Oryctolagus cuniculus: one gene and its partner. The protein of the gene in region 1 interacts with the protein of each later gene in a pairwise test. Links are inferred from orthologs where the notes say so. Each region holds a gene or a part of one and is shown on either strand. Other genes may lie near its edges. The genes, in order: RBM10 and RBM12B.

Region 1 (3,809 bases):
TAAGAGGAAGCTGGGCTCGGCCAAGTGGGACCCGGGTCAGCCTTTAGCTGTGACTCGCTCCTGATGCCAAGGCCCCTGGGTGCCACAGTGGCGGCAGGTCCACCCTAGAGCCAGCTTTGGGATTCCACAGCTGTCTGTCCGTCTGAGGCCCAGTAGGAAGATGGAGAGCTGTTGCGACTCCTGCCCTCTTCTCAAGAAGTGCTGTGCCTAGTTGGGGGCGTGGCATCTATTGTTGTTGCAGGCCTATCAGAGGGCAGGCGCTCAGCGCCATCCCTCCTGTGTTTCCAGATGTTCCTTGAACCAGAGCGATCTCCTTGACGCCTTCCTCTCCTTTATCCCTCCCATCCCGTTGGGCACCAGGGCCCATTGCATCAAGCGATGGAAATTTCCCCTTTCCTCCCGTGCCATACCCACTCTCCTGCCCCGCTCCTGGAAACCAGCTCCAGCCACGCCACTCCTTCTCTTGCTCAAAACCCTCAACTTCAATTTGAAGCTGAAGATCCTCCATGACTTAGCCGTGTCTTCCCTCCCCAGCCCTCCCTTCCCCTCCTACATCAGCTATGGGAAATCCATTGTTTCCTCTGTTGGGTATCCCTTCCCAGCCAAACTAAAACTTATGGGCACCCCAGATCAGACATGCCTGCTTCTGTGCAGCCCTTCCTGACTGTCCCCAGGTGAGCAGCCTGTACCCCTCTCTTGGCTTAGTCTCCTCCTGAGCACCTCCCCAGCCCACCCTGGGTGGCAGTCTGTGATGACTGACCTGCCCCTCTGTGCTCCTTGGTCATGAGGGAGAGGCCCTGCCCTGTCCATGTGCGGCAAGGCCTGGCACAGAAGCAGTGCTGGGTACCTGACGCTGGAACAGATTTAGAATGTGGTGGAAGCCGGGAAGCCTCCGGAGGCCGAAATAGCCAAGGAAAGTTTCTCAGCAGTAGCAGGAGCCAGTGCGGCCCTGGAGATAGAGGAGGAGTTAGGGTCTGACAAGAGGTGTGAAACGTTGAAGGTTTCTGAATAGAGAAGCATGTTGCAGCAGCAGGAACCTACCGAAGGGACTGAGCAGTAGCCCCGAGGAGGCAACAGTTGTAACCAGTCGGGGAGCTGATGATTCCTGAGCTGGGACTGGCACTGAGGACAACTTTGAGATGTGTAAAGGGAAGATTCACAGGCCTGAGCGTGTGCCAGGAGGCTCCTGGCACCCCTAACTATAGGACCTTCCTGGGATGTTGCTGGGTTCCTTGGGGGAATCTCTGGATTCAAGTTTGGAGGGTGCAGTGCAAAGCCCTGCCTCCTCTGACGGCCTGGCCTATGCCTCACAGTGTGGTGTCCAGAACTTCAAACGCCGTGAGAAGTGCTTCAAATGTGGCGTGCCCAAGTCAGGTGAGGCCCACATACCTCTCCCCTCCCCCCCCAGGACTTGGGGTGAGTAGAGACTAAGGGGCCAGGGATTGATCGAGGGTTGGTTTGGGGAGGAAGGGGAGCCAAGGAGCCTCCCCATTTGTCAACAGCCCGTGTCCTACCTCCCCCCCATTCCTCGACAGAGGCAGAGCAGAAGCTGCCCCTCGGCACAAGGCTGGATCAGCAGACGCTACCCCTGGGTGGACGAGAGCTGAGCCAGGGCCTGCTCCCCCTGCCGCAGCCCTACCAGGCCCAGGGAGTGCTGGCCTCCCAAGCCCTGTCCCAAGGCTCTGAGCCAAGCTCCGAGAACGCCAATGACAGTGAGTCAGTTATTCTTCCCTTCTTTCTCTGTGCCCCAGGGTCTCTGGGCTGAGCCCATCAAGACCAGAGAAATGGTAGTGAGCAGAACGTGATCCTCACAAGAGTCGCTGGGTTGTCACCTGGTGGAGTGATAGGCCTGTGACATTGGATGAGCAAAGCGGTAGCAAGTTGGGGAGGGGGCAGAATGGTGGCCAGAAGTGTTGGGAAGATTTCTTGGTAGATGAACTTGGATCAAGCTGGTACCTGGACTGCTGGTCAATGTGTCCCCTAGGGGAAGCAGCAGGTGCACAGGGCTGGAGGCCAGGGAACAAGGCACAGTGGGGAGCCACCAAAGAGGGGCTGAAGCAGGCTGCCAGGGGTGCCCTCTAATGCTGAACCCCCTTCCCACAGCCATCATTTTGCGTAACCTGAATCCACACAGCACTATGGACTCCATCCTGGGGGCCCTGGCACCCTACGCGGTGCTGTCTTCCTCCAACGTGCGCGTCATCAAGGACAAGCAAACCCAACTGAACCGAGGCTTTGCCTTTATCCAGCTCTCCACCATCGTGGTGAGGGCGGCACAGGGGGGGGCCGGGCAGCCAGGGTCCCGGCCCCCGGGGGTGGGGAGGAGGGATCCTTCCCCTGCCTCCCACCGCGGTCCCAAGCCTGGAAATGGGGCAATGGAGCCGGGGGCCTCCCCGGGCCTGACCCTTCTGTCCCTGCCTCCCCTCCACCCGCACAGGAGGCTGCTCAGCTGCTGCAGATCCTGCAGGCCCTGCATCCACCACTCACCATCGACGGCAAGACCATCAATGTTGAATTTGCCAAGGGTTCTAAGAGGTCAGGACCCCACCCACGTCCTGCCCAGCTTATCCCAACTTGCGTGGAGCCTCCCATCTTACTCCCAGTCTCCACTGTCCTTCCCAGGGACATGGCCTCCAACGAAGGCAGTCGCATCAATGCTGCCTCTGTGGCCAGCACTGCCATTGCTGCGGCCCAGTGGGCCATCTCACAGGTACTCAGACCCCTCACCCCTCAGCATCCTGGCACCTGGGCTTTCTCAACTTTCCTGTGCCCTCTGCTCAAACGGAAGGGCTGACTTGCTGTCCATGGATGCAGAATGCTTTCACACTGGCTGGTGTGGGCCCCTCTCTACCTTGCTCTCGGCTCTCTAGACCCCACCCCTCATACGTTCCCTGTCCTCACCACAGCTGCTTCCCAGTCACCTCCTGGGCTGTCACTTCGAGCAGGGCCCTGGCTGCTGCTGTGTTCTATTGGGTGGGGCTTTTCATGTGTGTATATGTATGTACGTATGTATGTATATATATTCATTTATATTATTCTGGATTCATGCAATGTATTGCATACTCCATATTGAGGTTATATATATATGTATGTATGTATATATCAATGTTGCTGAATAAAGAGGAATTTATAAGTGATTGAGAAAAATTGGGAGAAAGAGAATAAAGGAGGATGGTGGCTTCCTTAGTCTAACACCCGACACTTGTACCGCACATACCAGTACCAGCACTGGAAGCACCTGGGTGTGCGTGGATTTTTTTTTTTTTTTTTTTTTTTTTTTTTTTTTGCAGTCTTGTTTTTGGTACTGCTCTGTTCTCTTGCGGCCAGTTATCTTAAGGCTGCATGTTTTACTGTCAAGTAGAAACACTAGCCCTATGTATGGGACAGCCGGCTTCTAGCAGGCTCCCCACCCCCACCTCCTGCGCCCCTTCCTATTCTAATGAGCCCCTCCCACCTGCCCCTCAGGCCTCCCAGGGTGGGGAGGGTGCCTGGGCCACCCCTGAGGAACCACCGGTCGACTACAGCTACTACCAACAGGATGAGGGCTATGGCAGCAGCCAGGGCACAGAGTCCTCCCTCTATGCCCATGGCTATCTCAAGGGCACCAAGGGCCCTGGCATCACTGGAACCAAAGGGGACCCAGCTGGAGCAGGTAAGCCCCAGCATCTCTTCCTGAGCTCATGGTGGGGGCCAGCAGGCAGGGGGTCTGGGCCCCAGCCTTCACAGGCATCCTCCTTCCCTGTGCATTTCCAGGTCCTGAGGCGTCCCTGGAACCTGGAGCAGACTCCATGTCACTGCAGGCTTTCTCC
Region 2 (4,348 bases), on another chromosome or scaffold:
CTTTTTATCTTAAATATTTATTTATTTGAAAAACAGAGTTACAGAGAGGCAGAGGCAGAGAGAGAGAGAGAGAGAGAGATCTTTCATCTGCTGGTTCACTCCCTAGATGTCTGCAATGGATGCATCTGGGCTGATCCAGAGCCAGGAGCAAGGTGTTTCTTCCAGGTCTCCCACGTGGGTGCAGGGACTCAAGGACTTGAGCCATCTTCCATGGATTTCCCAGGCCATAGCATAGCTGGATCAGAAGTGGGACAGCTGGGTCTTGAATCAGGGCCCACATAGGATGCTGGCACTGCAGGTGGTGGCTTTACCAGCTGTGCCACAGCATCGGCTCCTCTTTTTTCTTTTTAAATTAAGATTTATTACTTATTTGGAAGGCAGAGTTACAGAGAGAGTGAGAGAGAGGTGGTGAAGACTGAGAGAGATTGTCCATTGGGTGGTTCACTTCCCAAATGACTGCAATGGGTGGGGGTTGGGCCAGGCTGAAACCTGGAGCCTGTAAGGACATCTGGGTCTCCCTAGTGGCATCTTCTGCTGCTTTCTCAGGCGCATTAACAGGGAGCTGGATTAGAATTGGAGCAGCCAGGACTCAACCAGGTCCTATATGGGATTATGGCCATCCCAGGCAGAGGTTAAACCCTCTGCAACAAAATGCCAGCCCTTGTTTTTCAATTTTCCAGACTGGCTCATCTATTGCTGCAAAAACAAAAAAAATAGAAGATGGCAACAATTTTTAAAATATATGTATGTATTAAGATTTTATTTATTTATTTGAGAGGTAGAGTCACAAAGGGAGGGACAGAGAGAAAGTTCTTCCATCCACAGGTTCACTTCCCAAATCTAAGCTGATCTGAAGCCAGGAGCCAGGAGCCCCTTCTGGGTCTCAACGCGGATGCAGGGGCCCAAGCAGTTGGTCCATCTGGAGAGCTGGGTCGGAAGCGGAGCAGCCGGGATTGGGATGCAGACGCGCAGGCGGAGGCTTAGCCTACCGGCCCCAGCAACACATTCATAAAGACACGTCGCAAGGTTATTAATGTCGGTGAAATCGATTAAGCAACATGCAGTTATTAAGCCCTCAGGCATTGCAATATTTGGCGAACTTGTAAGGCGGTAAAATCAACATTCCTGTGGCTTTTTAGAGCTTTCAAGTCTCAGAATGCTTACCCCACACGGTAATCGCAGAATTGACAAGACAAGAAATAGCCAACTTTTTTGTTTTTGTGTCTCTTTCTATAGCTCCTAGAAATCTTGAAAGTTTGCTCGCTGTACTTAGCAGTTAGCCGCTACAGTCTCATCACAACAAGCACTTGACCAACCTCGCCCTCCCTGACTCCGCCAACTTTGTCTCCGAATTTTGCCTTTTCCTGGCCGAGGCTCCGGGATTGGCTAGAATCTGGGCGTGCGCAGAAGCTTGGCAACACAAGGCTCCGCCTTCCCAGCCCTAACAACGGGAAGCGGGTGCGCGTCAGGGCTCGTGCGCAGGCGTGGCCAAGGCGCTGGGGTGGTGGGTTACGCCTGGAGAGCGCATGGGCAGACAAACTGTACGTCCGTTTGTCCGGACCGGAGGGGAGAGTGGGCGCCATCTTCTTGGCTCACTGAGGGTTGTACTTGTTCTGTGGAGGCTGCCGCGACGAGGAGACCCCGGCCCCCGGCCTTGTGTGTCCGACTCGGCAGCAGTGGTGTGTGTTTATTGCCAAGTGCGAAGCAGTTACCCTTGGGGCATGGGGCCGGGGAGGGGTTGGCGACCGAGACGGAAGAACAGGGAAAGGCGGGGCCGGCGGCCGCGCCAGGTTGTAGCGTAGCTTCTGCCGTTAGGGCACCCTCTTTTCTTGCTAAACACCAACTCTCCCTCTCCCGTCAGCCTCCATGTGGTGGTGTGTGTGCGCTTCCCAGCGATCTTGAGAGAAGATCTCGAAGGATTTCATAGGTATTTTTTTCTTTGCTATGTCATCGTAGTCGGTAGTGGCAGAAAAGCTCTGAAGGCCCAGCTCGTTAAGCTTGAGATGGGTGAAGTATCTCAGATTTGGGAGCTGTTCACCCTGTGGCGAGTTGGGGTGGAACGTTTGCCCTTGGGACGGCGTAACGGAGATGCACGGGGGTTGGGCGGTGCAGGTTAATTTGAAGGCTGATTTTGGCTGAAGGTCTGGCGACAGCATCGGATCCCACGTAGCAACTTTGGCCTGGCGTGAAAGAAGGAAGCTCTGACCTCTGGGAGTATGGACAAAGGCTTTGGGCTATAGAAGCGATGCCTTCGGATGATTACCATTTGAGAATGATGGATGTTATGGGAAACCCTGTGCCGTATGATGGATTCGTCTTCACTTACAGTTCCTATTGAGGACTCTGGCTCTGTGTGGTCATGCCTTTGGCTTTTATATTAACCATCTACATTATAAAAGGCAGATCATCATAAAGAATAATTGTGGACTGGGGGACATTATTTTCTGCAGGAGAAATTCGTATTTAGAATTTGAATATGCTTCATCACAACCTTGGGTTTTAAGAAATAATCACAGGCAAAAAGTAAAAGAATTTCTCTCCCTCTCCATGTTTGGAAAACGACTTTATTCACTATTTAAAATCCAATGGATCTGAGACTACACTACTTAAATCCAGTTTCCCTGTTTTCTGCTCAGTCTTAATTCATATTTTGCGTTATAATAAGTATTAAATGGGGTGAATTGCTGGATAAAACGAGCTGAATTACTTAAAATGTATTTTGAATTTCAGTGACTTACCTAACTTCAAAGGATCTATTTTTCACAGATGTTCTAACAGATCACTGTGTCTTTCAATCAGTGCGGAGATAAAAATACTTTTGCTTTCACATTAGAAAAATGTTAAGTGCAGAGTGCCTTAGGTTAATTTGTGTGTTTCGTTTTTTGTGTAATTTGCTGTTAGGAATATAGTTTCTGGTGAATTTTCTTAAGGAAATGATATTTTGAAACTGCAGGAGAAGTATTTATTTTGAGAGTTGGTCTCCAGATAGTCTCCTAGGTGTGTTATGGAGGGGTAGTACATTACCTTACTATCTCATGGGCAAAGACATTTAAGCATTAGATATATTTAACTTAACCATTAGGAACAAACTAGTCTGCCTGGAGTCCATAAGTTTTATTTTTATGAAACTGCTTAGTTACTGAGAGTTAAAATAGTTAAGAAGGTAGTTTTTAAGTTAAGAAGGATAAATTACTAGTTTTCTGAAATTGACATGATTAAATTATTGCTCAAAATCTGATCTTTGTCAATCCTCTAATTCATTTGTAGGTGAATTTTAGTTCTCATAGTAAATAAATACCTTTGCAATTAAAAAAATTAAGAGAGTTAATTTGCTTTTTTAAAATGTTGAAAAAGCAGCTAAGCCAGTCTATGCTTATGGGGGGGCAGTCTGGAACCTTAACATAGATACATGTTTTAGAAGTCATTTGTACTTTTTGTTGAATTGTTGGTGTGTATATTGACTAGTTGAAGAGAGAGGGCTTACACTGTTTCTTTCTTTTATGATACTGTGCAGATAAATTAATAGTAAACCTCAATATTTTTCAGATGTGGAACATGCCATCTTGTTATCTCTGTTATTTAGCTTATAGATAGTTTAATCTGTAGACTATTTTTAAAGGAAAATAGTCTTGCACACCTCAGTGAATATGTCTCAGACCCTATTTTGGAACAGTGGTACTGTAATTTGAGCACTGGACTAAAGCAACATTTATTTGCATATTAAAATATGTAAATTGTAGTTACTCAGTTGGCAGGTCTTAAAACTTGATTAATTAGCAAGACTTCAAAGAAAATGGGCAAACATTTGGCATAGATATTTGGGAAGCCCAGTTTCATATCAGAGTGCCTAGGGTTCAAGACCCAACTCTGTTTCCATTGCCAGCTTCCTGCTGATGTGCATTCTGGGTGGCAGGAGGTGATGGCTTAAGTAGTGGAGTTTGAGTTATGGGCTCTGGGCTTCACTGTAGCCTGGCCCTGGCTGTTGGAGGCTTTTGAGGAGTGAACCAGCAGATGAGAGATCTCAGTTTTTCAAGTTAAATAAATAATTCAAAAATACTTTGTTAGGTACTGTTAGTTTGGTTATCCCTGAAAGTAGTAAGTGTAAGTTTCCTTAAAAAGGTAGTAAGGGGCAGGTATTTTCAGTTTAAACACCTGTGTCCCAAGTTGGAGTATTTGGGTTCTATACCTGGCTCTGGCCTCTTTCTTACGTGAGCCCTGGGAAGCTGCAACTGATGGCTCAAGTATTTCAGTTCCTGCCACACACATGAAAGACTTTGATTGAATTCCCAGTTCCCAGCTTCAGCCCCCCCCACAACGCTGGCTACTGTGGATATTTGGAAAGTGAACC

The links.
Region 2: the proteins of RBM10 (region 1) and RBM12B interact in a two-hybrid assay, tested with the Homo sapiens proteins (3 studies listed by BioGRID). The link is inferred for Oryctolagus cuniculus from reciprocal best matches to the Homo sapiens genes RBM10 and RBM12B.

What each region holds. Positions count from the first base shown.
Region 1 is NC_091453.1:32,712,249-32,716,057, forward strand, and holds part of RBM10 (RNA-binding protein 10), read left to right. Parts: intron 1-1,313; coding exon 1,314-1,374; intron 1,375-1,535; coding exon 1,536-1,712; intron 1,713-2,103; coding exon 2,104-2,264; intron 2,265-2,437; coding exon 2,438-2,535; intron 2,536-2,622; coding exon 2,623-2,710; intron 2,711-3,465; coding exon 3,466-3,652; intron 3,653-3,753; coding exon 3,754-3,809. UniProt on the Homo sapiens protein: Binds to ssRNA containing the consensus sequence 5'-AGGUAA-3'. May be involved in post-transcriptional processing, most probably in mRNA splicing. Binds to RNA homopolymers, with a preference for poly(G) and poly(U) and little for poly(A).
Region 2 is NC_091437.1:119,183,661-119,188,008, reverse strand, and holds the start of RBM12B (RNA-binding protein 12B), read left to right. Parts: upstream 1-1,526; coding exon 1,527-1,679; exon of another isoform or gene 1,680-4,348.